Alligator mississippiensis: one gene and its partners. The protein of the gene in region 2 binds, or shares a complex with, the protein of the main gene of each other region. Links are inferred from orthologs where the notes say so. Each region holds a gene or a part of one and is shown on either strand. Other genes may lie near its edges. The genes, in order: TIMM10, TIMM10B and AGK.

Region 1 (3,745 bases), on a different chromosome or scaffold from region 2:
AGGCTTTTAGCTGAAGGTAAAGTCCAGCCACCATCTGTCCAGTGAAGGAAAAGACCCACTTCCCTCCACATATCATAAACACTATAAAGCCTTTTCCTTAACCTTTCTCCAGTCACTCCTCCTTGAGCAGAGTCAAAGCTTGAGGAAGCCTGGAAACCTTTTGGGGACTGCTATGAGTGAGCACAGCAGGCTGCTAGGCAGCAACCTTGACCATAGAAAGCTTGGGCATTAGTCCTAAAGAGGACAACTGTATATGATTGTGGAGAGGGGAGGCACTTTGTAACTGTTACAGTAAATAACAAGTGTTATTGCCTCAGAAATTAAATGTAAAACAAAACTAAAAGCCACAGCACCTTCCCCCCCACCCTGCCAGTGCCCCTTGCTCCCAACCCACAGCCATGCTAAGCTAAACTGACTTCTTTGCTGTATTTGCAGACAGGCTGGCCGTGCTGCCGGCCGTAGCATAAGGGAAGTCTCTCGTTAGCTCCCTGACGTCCAAGTCATCGCTGTGCTTCTTCCATGGCCTGTGCGAGGGATCCACGACCCTTGTGATCCCGGGTCCCCCGGTCGTGCCAACTCCTGCCCCCAAAGTCACACAACTAGCTTGTCTGACTTAAACTCCAACCCCGACTCATCACCTAGCATCACGCTGAACCACATCGGAGCACCTGCCTCCCCTGCCAACACCCCCGTGCAGCTGGGGGCCGCCCTTGGACTGCAGCGGCCGCCACGTCTTGCACGAGGAGCAAGAGCGGCTCAGGGCAGGAAAGCGCCCCCTCGCCCCTGGGGACCCGCACGAGGAGAGATGCTGCACGTGGCGCCTCCAGGCTGCTCCGAGCAGGGGCCCTGCAGGAAATGCAGGCTCCCTCCCCGGTTGCTTTTGGGGCTGGGGAGCGCAGGGCGGGGACGGCTGTGTGCTCTCGCAGAGGACAATGCTTCCAGCTGTTCAGTGAAGCGGTCACATCCACGCCGAGGCCCAGACGGCTTGCAGCACGCACATCCCGCCAGCTCTCCCCGGCCCCCAGAGGCACGTCAACCCCAGCCCCCGCGTCCCCATGGCAACATGCCCCGCCCCACTCCCGGCTAGCCCTCCACGCCCCTGGAGTCCCACCCCCTGCCCGTGCCCGCTCCCGCTCCTGCTCCCTCCCAACCCCGCCCCCGCGCGTCTCTGTGGTTGGCAGGCCGGGCCTCCCGATCCCGCCCAATCGCTGCGCTGCCGGAAATGACGTTCTCCCCGCTCTTTGAGCCGGGGAGGGGGGTGCCTCCTTCCCGGAAGTGCTGGTGGCCCCACGTGGTTCCGGCTGGCAGGTGGGGTGGAGGTGGCCTCCTGCCCTCGCCCGGCCCCTGCGCACGGGCATGGGGCGGCCGAGGCGGGAGGGGAGCACGGTGCCAAGGCTGCTCCCCTGCTGGGGTCTGACCGCGCTCCGTGCAGAGGGTGCAGGGGCTGCCCCGTAGGGAGGCGCCGCCAGCTCCTCGGGGTCCCCGCGGCCTCGGGTGCGCTGGGGTCGTCGTTGACGCCGCCTCGGGTGTAGCTGGGCGCTGCCCGGGGCTGGGGCAGCACTGACAGTTTTTGTGCCTTTCCAGGAGATCCCGGCCCTGCCTCAGCTGCACGGGACGCGGAGCTTAGGCGATGGATCCTGTGCAGGCGCAGCGGCTGGCAGCGGAGCTGGAGGTGGAGATGATGGCTGACATGTACAACAGGTCATGACCCCGTCCAAAGACCCCTGCAGGGCTCTGGGCTTTACTCCGTGCTCCTAAGCGCCTGGGGGGAGGAAGAGAGAGGGAAATATCTGCCTGTGGGCTGTTGCAGGCCACAGGACTCCTACTTTCAAGTGCAGGAATATCTCATGTGTCCATTTCCTTGCTGGGGGGCCCCTGCAGGATGCATCACCAAAGCTGTGTGTATGTGAGCAGGTTCCTGGAGTTGAAATGTCAGAGAGCCTGTGAATGGATGGAAATACACTGGTCGAGCTATGTGGGGTGTATGGATCTGTGATGGCAAGGGGATGGGGCTGCGGAGTGTGAGCAAGGCTGTGTGCATATGGAAAGGAAAGCCTAGGATGCAGTAGCAGGGGAGGTGCAGTGGCCATTTAAGGTATCCACAGAGCGGGGCGGGGGAAGAACTAATGTCTGGAATGGTTGCTGTGCTGTGTGTGAAGGAGACTGGCCTGGTGAGCAGGGGCGTGTAGAGATTCTCATAATGTCTCCCTCCTTTGTACCCCAGGATGACCAATGCCTGCCACCGGAAGTGTGTCCCCCCCCACTACAAGGAGGCTGAGCTCTCCAAAGGGGAGTCTGTATGCCTGGACCGCTGTGTCTCCAAGTACCTGGACATTCATGAACGCATGGGCAAGAAATTGACAGAGCTCTCCATGCAAGATGAGGAGCTGATGAAGCGGATTCAGCAGGGGGCTGGGGCGGTTTAAGAATCCCTCTTCAGCTTTGGACAGCAAGTGTGATAGGCCCTGAGTGCACTGGACTGCCGCCTAGATTCAGCCCTGGGTCCCCTGTCAATAAAGCCTTGATAGTTTTGTATGAGCAGCACTGGGCCTCTGCCTTCCAACAAGGGGATCCTGTGCTGAGATTCGCTGTTTAGCTGTTTCCTGCTGAGTGGATGAGGTCCTATCTCTGCCCTTCCCAGATGATGCTCCTAGTGAGCAGCATTGTCCCAAATAGGGATGAGGTCCCAATCCTATCCTAGTGGTGTCTCTTTATTGACTAATGGAGCAAAGGCTTGATCCAGGGTAGTTTGTGATGAAGTGTCCTCTTGCAGGAGGTCGGGCTAGAACCCTCGTCCCAGCTCTTTTACCCCTTTGATAGCATGATGGATTGGCTGCAGGGGGCACTGCCTCCAGGTGGATGTATATTCCCTATGGTATTGTGCTCATCAAATCTCCATGGTACTCTCACAGAGCAGCATGCCCCTGTCAGATTTGAGTAATCCCCTCCTGGCTGCAGTTTGCCTTTCACTTTCAGCTCCAAACTCTGTGACAGAGCCTGTTCCTATTTTCTGTTGGGCAACCCTTGTCCTTTTCCCCCCTCCCCCCAGAGATGGCTGCATTTTTGTTCGGGGAGGCAAACTGCTGGCTGTAATCTGAAGAATTTCCTTGCAATCCTTGATGGCTGTAGCTGCTATGTGTGGCCAGCAGGGGGCATGCTGCTGCTGGGGAAAGCACATGGGAGTTTCACTTGGCTTTCAGTTCATGGCTTTAGTAAATATTTTTACAAGCCTGGCTCCTAATTGGTGTTTTCCTCCTTTCTCTCATCCCAGTTTCTGATTTGTGGTTAATTACACGGCAGCTCCATTTAGCCTGAGGGTGAAGCTTCTAATCCCAGTGACCTCCAGGGAGTGGCTAGGAGTTATTTTTACTGCATGCAATTCAGTCCTCTTGGGGCTCAGTCTGGTTTTCCTGGAAGATGCTGCATGATGATTTCCTCAGAATTCGCTGGCAGGAAAAACTATGTGTACAGCAGCTTTTGTTTGCACTGGGGACTATGCAGGCACCTGGGAGGGGGATTTTGAGGTTGGCTTGGGGGTACGGACAGCTATAGCAAGGCTGTAGCAGCAAGTGAGGGTAGGGGCTGTGTTGGAGGAGACTGAGAGGGGGTTGCATGAGGCTAGGGATAGCAAACAGCAGGGGGAAGGCCTTACTGGCCTGGCTTTGTCTAGCTCTAGCCTTTGATTGTTAGGGCGAGAGAGCCGAGAGGGAGCACAGCAGGGGTGGAATGGAAATAGGGATAGAAG
Region 2 (2,664 bases):
GAGCACGGCCTCCCGGTGCCACGCGCCCAGCGCCAGCGCCTCGGCCCCCTGCCCCGGCTGCACGTGCAGCACGCCGAAGGGCGAGAAGACGTAGTGCTGCGGGGCCGCCCTCGCCTTGGGCACCGCGGCCAGGCTGTACGGCCTGCGGGCGACAGCACGGCTAGGAGGGGGCGCCCCGGCGAGGGCGGCGTCGTGCCCGTCACCCCGGGGAGCCGTTGGGGGGGGGGTGCAGCCCCCGGGAGCCGTGACCCAGCCCCGCCCGTTACCGGTAGTGGCGGCCAGCGGCGACGTTGAGGTAGGCGACCTCCGTCCTGCCCAGGGGCTTGTCCCGCACCATCGCCTCGGCGGTCTGCACGCCCGTGCGGGGCGGCGCGGCGCGGGGGGAGCCCGGCCGGGGCCTGCAGGGCAGCGCGGCTGTGAGCGCGGGCGCCCCGCGCAGGAGCTGGACACAGGGACCCCCAGGACCCTCCGGGGCGGGGGTGGGGGGCTCACCGCGACGGCCCCGGGCTGCCCGCCCCGTCGGGCGGCTCCATGCGGGCGGATGCGGGGCCGTTAGCGGCGGCGCGGGAGGGGGCGGGGCCAGCGCGAGCCCCGCCCCGTCGAGGCCCCGCCCACACGCCCGCAGCCGACTCGGGGGAGTGGGGGGAAGGGGGACGGTTTATTGCGGCGCCCGCTGCAACACGTTGGTGTCGGTCCCGGTCCCGGTGTCGATCCCGGCGGCGGCCTCGAGGTCGGCGGCGCGGCGCTGCACGAGGGCGGGCATGAGCCGCACGTAGGCGCGCATCAGGCTGTGGTTGGCGCGCACCAGCTTGACCGCGCAGCGCTCCACGCACGAGTCCTGCGGGCAGGAGAGGGGGCGGGGTCAGCGCGAGGGGGCGGGGCCAGCGGGGCGGGGGCGGGGCCGTGCGCCCGCACTCACCTCGGGGTGGGTGAGCGGCCGGCAGTCCATGTCGGCCACGCAGCGCGCGAAGCACAGCTCGGTCATGCGGTTGTAGAGCAGCAGGAAATCCCGCAGCTGCAACGGAGCAAGGGTCGGACCAACGGCTCCCGCCTCCCTTACCCGCCCCATCCTGTCCCCCCTCCACCCCCGGCACTGACACTGCGGAGCTGCTGCTGCTCCGCCGACGGCTCCATGCCCGCGCGCCGCCACTTCCGCCCTCGCTCTGACGCCAACTCCGCCCCTACTTCCGCCCTTCGTCCGCGTCAGGGGGGGACTCCCTTCCGCCCGCGCGCTGGCTTCAGTATGTCGTCACTTCTGTCCGCCTCCCGGCGCCCCCTGCCCGGGCTCTGACGTCTATTCCGCTGTGCGGGGGGGGGCGCCGGAGCCGAGCGGGGATCGGGGCCTCCCGGGGGCACCCGGCGGCGCCGGAGCAGGTGCGGAGCGGCAGCGGGAGCGGGAGCGGGCCCGGGTGGGGGTGGGGACAGGTGCGCAGGGGGCGGGGCCGGCGGGGCGTGGGGGCGGGGCCGGGGACGTGGCCGCGGGCGCGGGGCCAGGATTGGGGCCGGCCGGACGCACCCCCCCGCCCCCCCCAGCCCCAGGATGACGGACGCGCTGCTGGGCAAGGCGGCCACCATGGAGATCCCGATCCACGGCAACGGCGACGCGGGCGGCCTGGCCGAGGACGACGGGCTCGAGCAGGTGCGGGGGGAGGGGAGGGGAGGAGTGGGCCGGGAGGGGCACTGCCGCGGTGGCGCTCACCGCACCCCCCCCCCCCCCCCCCAGGACCTGCAGCAGGTGATGGTGTCGGGGCCCAACCTCAACGAGACCAGCATCGTGTCCGGCGGCTACGGCGGCACGGCCGAGGGCATCATCCCCACGGGCGCCGGCAAAGGTGGGGGCCCGCGGGCGCCGGGGGGTGGGGGTCGAGCTGCCCCGGGGACCCCCGTCAGCCACGCTCTCGCGTCCCCCTCTTCACCCCGCGCTCGCCCCCCCGGCCTGGCCCCCCCTTCCAGGCCGTCCCGCACGGCCTCGCTGGCCCCCGCCACCCTCCGTGTCGCCCAGCGACTCCATCGCCAGCCAGGCCGGCGCGTCCGCAGGTACCGGCCCCCTCCGCCCCCCGCCCCGGACCTCGCCACCCCCCCCGCCCCGGTCCTGCCCCCGCTCACCCCCCCGCCCGCCGCCTTGCAGGCGCCGGCCTGCACCCGCCTCACCCGGGCCCCGCCGCCGCGGGCGAGGAGGTCGTCAGGGGCATCGCCGTGGAGAAGTTCGACATCGTTAAGAAGTGGGGCATCAACACGTACAAGGTGGGTCCCCCCCCTGGGGTGGCCGCGGGGCGGGGGGGGGGCGCCTGTGCGGCAGTGCTGACGCCCCCCGCACCCGCAGTGCACGAAGCAGCTGATCTCGGAGCGGTTCGGGCGCGGGTCGCGCACCGTGGACCTGGAGCTGGAGACGCAGATCGAGCTGCTGCGGGAGACCAAGCGCAAGTACGAGTGCGTGCTGCAGCTGGCGCGCGCCCTCACCAGCCACTTCTACAGCCTGGTGCAGACCCAGCACGCCCTGGGCGACGCCTTCTCCGACCTCAGCCAGAAGTCTCCCGAGCTCCAGGTACGTGGTGGAGCCCGGGGTCCGCGGTCTCCGGGCCCCGCTCCCGTTCCCGCAGCACGGGTGATGGCTGGTGCATGGTGGCGGCTGGGCGGCGTCGGCCTGACCCTGCGCTGTGCCCG
Region 3 (3,745 bases), on a different chromosome or scaffold from region 2:
CTCCCCTACCCTGGGGGTCTTCAAAAGGAGGTTAGACGAGTATCTAGCTGGGGTCATTTAGACCCAGCACTCTTTCCTGCTTATGCAGGGGGTCGGACTTGATGATCTATTGAGGTCCCTTCCGACCCTAACATCTATGAATCTATGAATCTATGATGCACATGGCCTGCAGCAGTGTGCTGATTGTCATGTGTCAAAGGATGTTATGCGGCCCACAGGTTGAGAACACAGTCTGCGGACCCCCAGGGGTCCACAGACCACAGGTTAAAAACCAGTGTTATAGGAAATTCTCTTCAGGTTTCAGGCATGCCTGTTGCTGGTCACAACCGTTTCATTGTTGGCCATAATGGCATTAAGCACAGAAATGGACCTAGAAAGAGAGCCCTTCACACTCCCTCCAAAACACTCCTGTTTGTCATTCTGTTGGATGACTAAGCCATGGAGCTGATTTATCGTGGGCAGCACATTGGGTTTGTAGGATGACGCGCTCTTGGAAGCCACATGAATTTGTGGGTATAAACACAGGTGGCAAGGGCAAGGATCAGACCTTGGCTTGAGGGACTTGGCAAGACATGAACATTGGGTTAGGAAGACCTTGGAAAGAGATTTCAGCAAACCAAGGAGTCTGGAGCAGATTGGGAAACACGTATGTAACAAGACTGGGGTGTTGCAACTCAGTAAGTGCAAGATGCGGCCCGTAACTCGAAGTCCCACAGGGAGTCAGCCCTGGGGCTGAGACCACATCTCAGGCCTCCCGATCCCTTGTTCATAGAATCGTAGAAAAGCAGAGGTGGGCTCGGGAACGGATGTGTCCCCCCATCCTCTTGCTAAAGGTGGCAGTTGGAGAGGAGGGTCCAGTTTTCTCCTACTCTGTCCTCTATTGACACGAAACCCAACACCTTTATGTCTTCTCTTCAAGAAACCTGATGGAAAAAAGTCTTTGCTAAATCAGCTCTCCATTCAAGAGAAGAACAGAGGACATAAAGGCATCGGGTTTTGTACCAACAGAGGACAACCGGACTGTCCTCTATGATGGCCCCCTAGCTCACGCTGGCACAGGCTGGAGGGGGAGGCCGTCTTCCTTGGATCTCTCCATTGTATTACAACAATCCTGGCAGCTGCCGGACCTGTCCCCATAGCGGGCCAGGCACTTGCGTCAGGGTTGCCCGGGACAGTGGATTTGCAGGGGCCGGTTGGACAGGGCCGGCCCAGCCTGTGGCGCGGCTTGGACTAGGGGCCCTGGGAGTGGGGGCGTCTGCGCCCAGGGTGTGCCAGGGTGCGAAGAAACAACCCCCAACACCGCTTTTCCTGTCAAAGCAGCAGCGGCTTGAAACAGGGGGCCTCAGGCACTCACCCAGCGTCTTGGGTCCGGCGCCGGGCAGGAGCCCAGCCGGCTCCACCCCCCGCGGCCGGAACCACAGTGCGGCGGCGCCGCTTTCCAGCCGGGCCGCCGAGCGCGACGTACCGCACCGCACCGCACCGCGCCGCCTCGGCCGGGGGCTGCCACGTGGGTCGCGGGGGCCGGCGGGACCCTGCCCGGCCGTGGGGGGTGTTTGGTTGGGGGGAGGGGGTGTCGGGGGGTGTGTGGGAGTGCGTCACGTGTGTCCGGTCTCGCTTCCTCGCAGGGATGAGGAGCAGCCCGCCTCCTGATTCCTGCTGTGCCCTGCGGAAGTGGCCCGGCCCGGCCCGGCCCGGCCCGAGCATGGCCCGCGTGGTCGGGATGTTTAAGACCCTCAGGACCCACTGGAAGAAAAGCACGGTGGGGGTCTGCCTGTGCGCCTGGGGAGGAAGCTGGGTGTACGGCAAGCACTGGTAACTATGCCCTCCCCCTTCTGCCCCCTCCCCCAGGCTTGAGACAGGAGGCATTGGGCAGATAGATCTGGCAAGCGGGTGGCGGGAAATGCTGGTGGTTTGGGAGGCTTGAGATAGAAAGGGGCTGGGGGCAGCCTGCTGGGCAGTGGCAAAGCTGTCCTTTGCTAAAGAGGTTTCCCCCCAGTGGCCTGTGCTCAGAGAGGAGCTGCAGCAGCTCGGCCACAGGGAGTGTGGGTGGGCACTGCCGTGCTCTGAACACTGCCAGCAGGGATTAATTTTTGGCTTTCTTTTTAAAACACCAGGCCCATTTAAAAAACAACAACAACATCAACAACAACAAACAAACTAAAGCGATCAGGGAGATATTCTTCTTCTATTTCCAGACAGCAGGTCCCATTCTCTGTTAAGACATTGCCCTTTTCGTGGGCTTGTCTCGGTGTGTACTGCTTGAGTTTTCTTCTTGTTGCTGTTATTTCTCTCGGTCTTCCTTTTCTTCTAACGTGGTTCGAGCGGGCTTGGCCTCGCTGGAGCATCTCTCGTTCCCAACGCTTTTCTGTTTTACAATGCTTTTTCAAAGCTCGGGAATCTCTTTGTGATGATCGCTGTTCCTGTTCCACTAAACTGCACTCCAGAGAGGGCAGGTGAACGTAACTGCTGACTTCCAGAGAGATTTCATAGACATTAGGGCTGGAAGGGACCTCGGAAGATCATCAAGTCCAGCCCCCTGCCCAAAGGGCAGGAAGTCAGCTGGGGTCATAGGATCCCCGCAAGTTAAGCATCCAGTTTCATCTTGAAGGTGTTCAATGTAGGCGTTTGAACCACCTCCAGTGGCAGGCTGTTCCAGACCTTGGGGGCTCGGACAGTAAAGAAATTCTTCCTTGTGTCCAGCCTGAAACGGGCTTGTAGTAGTTTATGACCATTCGACCTCGTCATCCCTTGGGGCGCTCTGGTGAACAAACGTTCCCCCAGATACTGGTGGTCACCCCTGATAAACTTATAGGTGGCCATCAGATCACCCCTGAGCCTGCGCTTTTCCAGGCTAAAGAGCCCCATGGCTCTCAGCCTGTCATCGTAGGGTCTGCTTCTCTGACCTCCCTGACCACGTGGCTCTTCTCTGGACTCTCAAGCTTCTCCACATCCTTTTTGAATTGTGGAGCCCAAAACTGGACACAGTACTCCAGCTGCGGCCTCACCAAGGCCAAGTACAAGGGGAGAATGACGTCCCGGGATTTGCTTGAGAAGCATCTATGGATGCCAGCCAGCGTTTTGGTCGCTTTACTAGTCATCCTGTAGCTGCTTTGTTGCGTGTTTGGGGTAGGTCATGGAGGGCCCTCTTAAAAGATGCACAGGCCCTCAGAGTAGCTTAGATCACATTTAAATGAGGGTGGGAAGATGAGATCTATTTTCTGCTCCAGCTAGTGAAATCCAGTCTGCAGACATTTGGTGGGGATTTCAAACAGCATTACAGCGGTCCTCAATCTCCAGCCTGCAGACTGGTGCCATCCAGCCTATGCGTCTCCCCCTAGGTGTGGAAATTGGATGGCAGAGAAGCAGTGACAGTGCTAAGAGCAGATTTCCAGACCCATGGAGGAGCCCTGTGGGTTAGATGACATGGGCCACAACAAAATTGCGTCCTGTGCACGGGGTCACTCTGCAAGAAGATCTGGGAGTGCAGAACTGGGATGGTGCAACAAATCACACCAGCAGAGCAACCCTGTGCATTGACCCCACCCGGGATCTGGCCCACAAACCAGCCCCATACCACTTGTTCAGCCCACAGGGCCAGATAAGTTAATCAGCACTGGTTTTATAGCAGTGAATAAAAATGTATGGTCTCCACCTGCAAATGATACCAGTAGCACAGACACTTGTGTAGTTATGGAAGGCAGTAGTATTCTGTGCGAGGCCAACAGTATACACAAGTGAGTTGTAT

Evidence for each region.
Region 1: the proteins of TIMM10B (region 2) and TIMM10 are in contact, whole or in part, in a cryo-EM structure (PDB 7CGP), measured with the Homo sapiens proteins. The link is inferred for Alligator mississippiensis from reciprocal best matches to the Homo sapiens genes TIMM10B and TIMM10. Residues at the interface, in NP_036324.1 of Homo sapiens: Gln7, Leu11, Leu14, Arg15, Phe17, Leu18, Leu19, Tyr21, Asn22, Arg23, Met24, Thr25, Glu26, Cys28, Phe29, Val33, Pro34, Ser35, Leu36, His37, His38, Arg39, Leu41, Glu46, Leu49, His50, Ala53, Gly54, Ile57, His61; in NP_036588.1 of Homo sapiens: Ala6, Leu9, Leu13, Glu16, Met17, Asp20, Met21, Arg24, Ala28, Lys32, Cys50, Asp52, Arg53, Cys54, Ser56, Lys57, Tyr58, Asp60, Ile61, His62, Glu63, Arg64, Met65, Gly66, Lys68, Leu69, Leu72, Asp76.
Region 3: TIMM10B (region 2) and AGK share a complex: the UniProt entries of both Homo sapiens proteins name them as parts of the TIM22 complex. The link is inferred for Alligator mississippiensis from reciprocal best matches to the Homo sapiens genes TIMM10B and AGK.

What each region holds. Positions count from the first base shown.
Region 1 is NC_081825.1:172,675,105-172,678,849, forward strand, and holds the start of TIMM10 (mitochondrial import inner membrane translocase subunit Tim10), read left to right. Parts: upstream 1-1,229; 5' UTR 1,230-1,308; intron 1,309-1,584; 5' UTR 1,585-1,630; coding exon 1,631-1,701; intron 1,702-2,224; coding exon 2,225-2,426; 3' UTR 2,427-3,745.
Region 2 is NC_081824.1:483,432,200-483,434,863, reverse strand, and holds TIMM10B (mitochondrial import inner membrane translocase subunit Tim10 B), read right to left. Parts: upstream 1,239-2,664; 5' UTR 1,135-1,238; coding exon 1,099-1,134; intron 1,016-1,098; coding exon 920-1,015; intron 839-919; coding exon 659-838; 3' UTR 640-658; downstream 1-639. Other genes in the region: DNHD1 (dynein heavy chain domain-containing protein 1), read right to left, coding at 1-142, 267-398, 493-533; ARFIP2 (arfaptin-2), read left to right, coding at 1,541-1,639, 1,724-1,832, 2,129-2,244, 2,324-2,545. UniProt on the Homo sapiens protein: Component of the TIM22 complex, a complex that mediates the import and insertion of multi-pass transmembrane proteins into the mitochondrial inner membrane.
Region 3 is NC_081827.1:110,420,844-110,424,588, forward strand, and holds the start of AGK (acylglycerol kinase, mitochondrial), read left to right. Parts: upstream 1-1,419; 5' UTR 1,420-1,507; intron 1,508-1,625; 5' UTR 1,626-1,627; coding exon 1,628-1,812; intron 1,813-3,745. UniProt on the Homo sapiens protein: Lipid kinase that can phosphorylate both monoacylglycerol and diacylglycerol to form lysophosphatidic acid (LPA) and phosphatidic acid (PA), respectively. Does not phosphorylate sphingosine. Phosphorylates ceramide.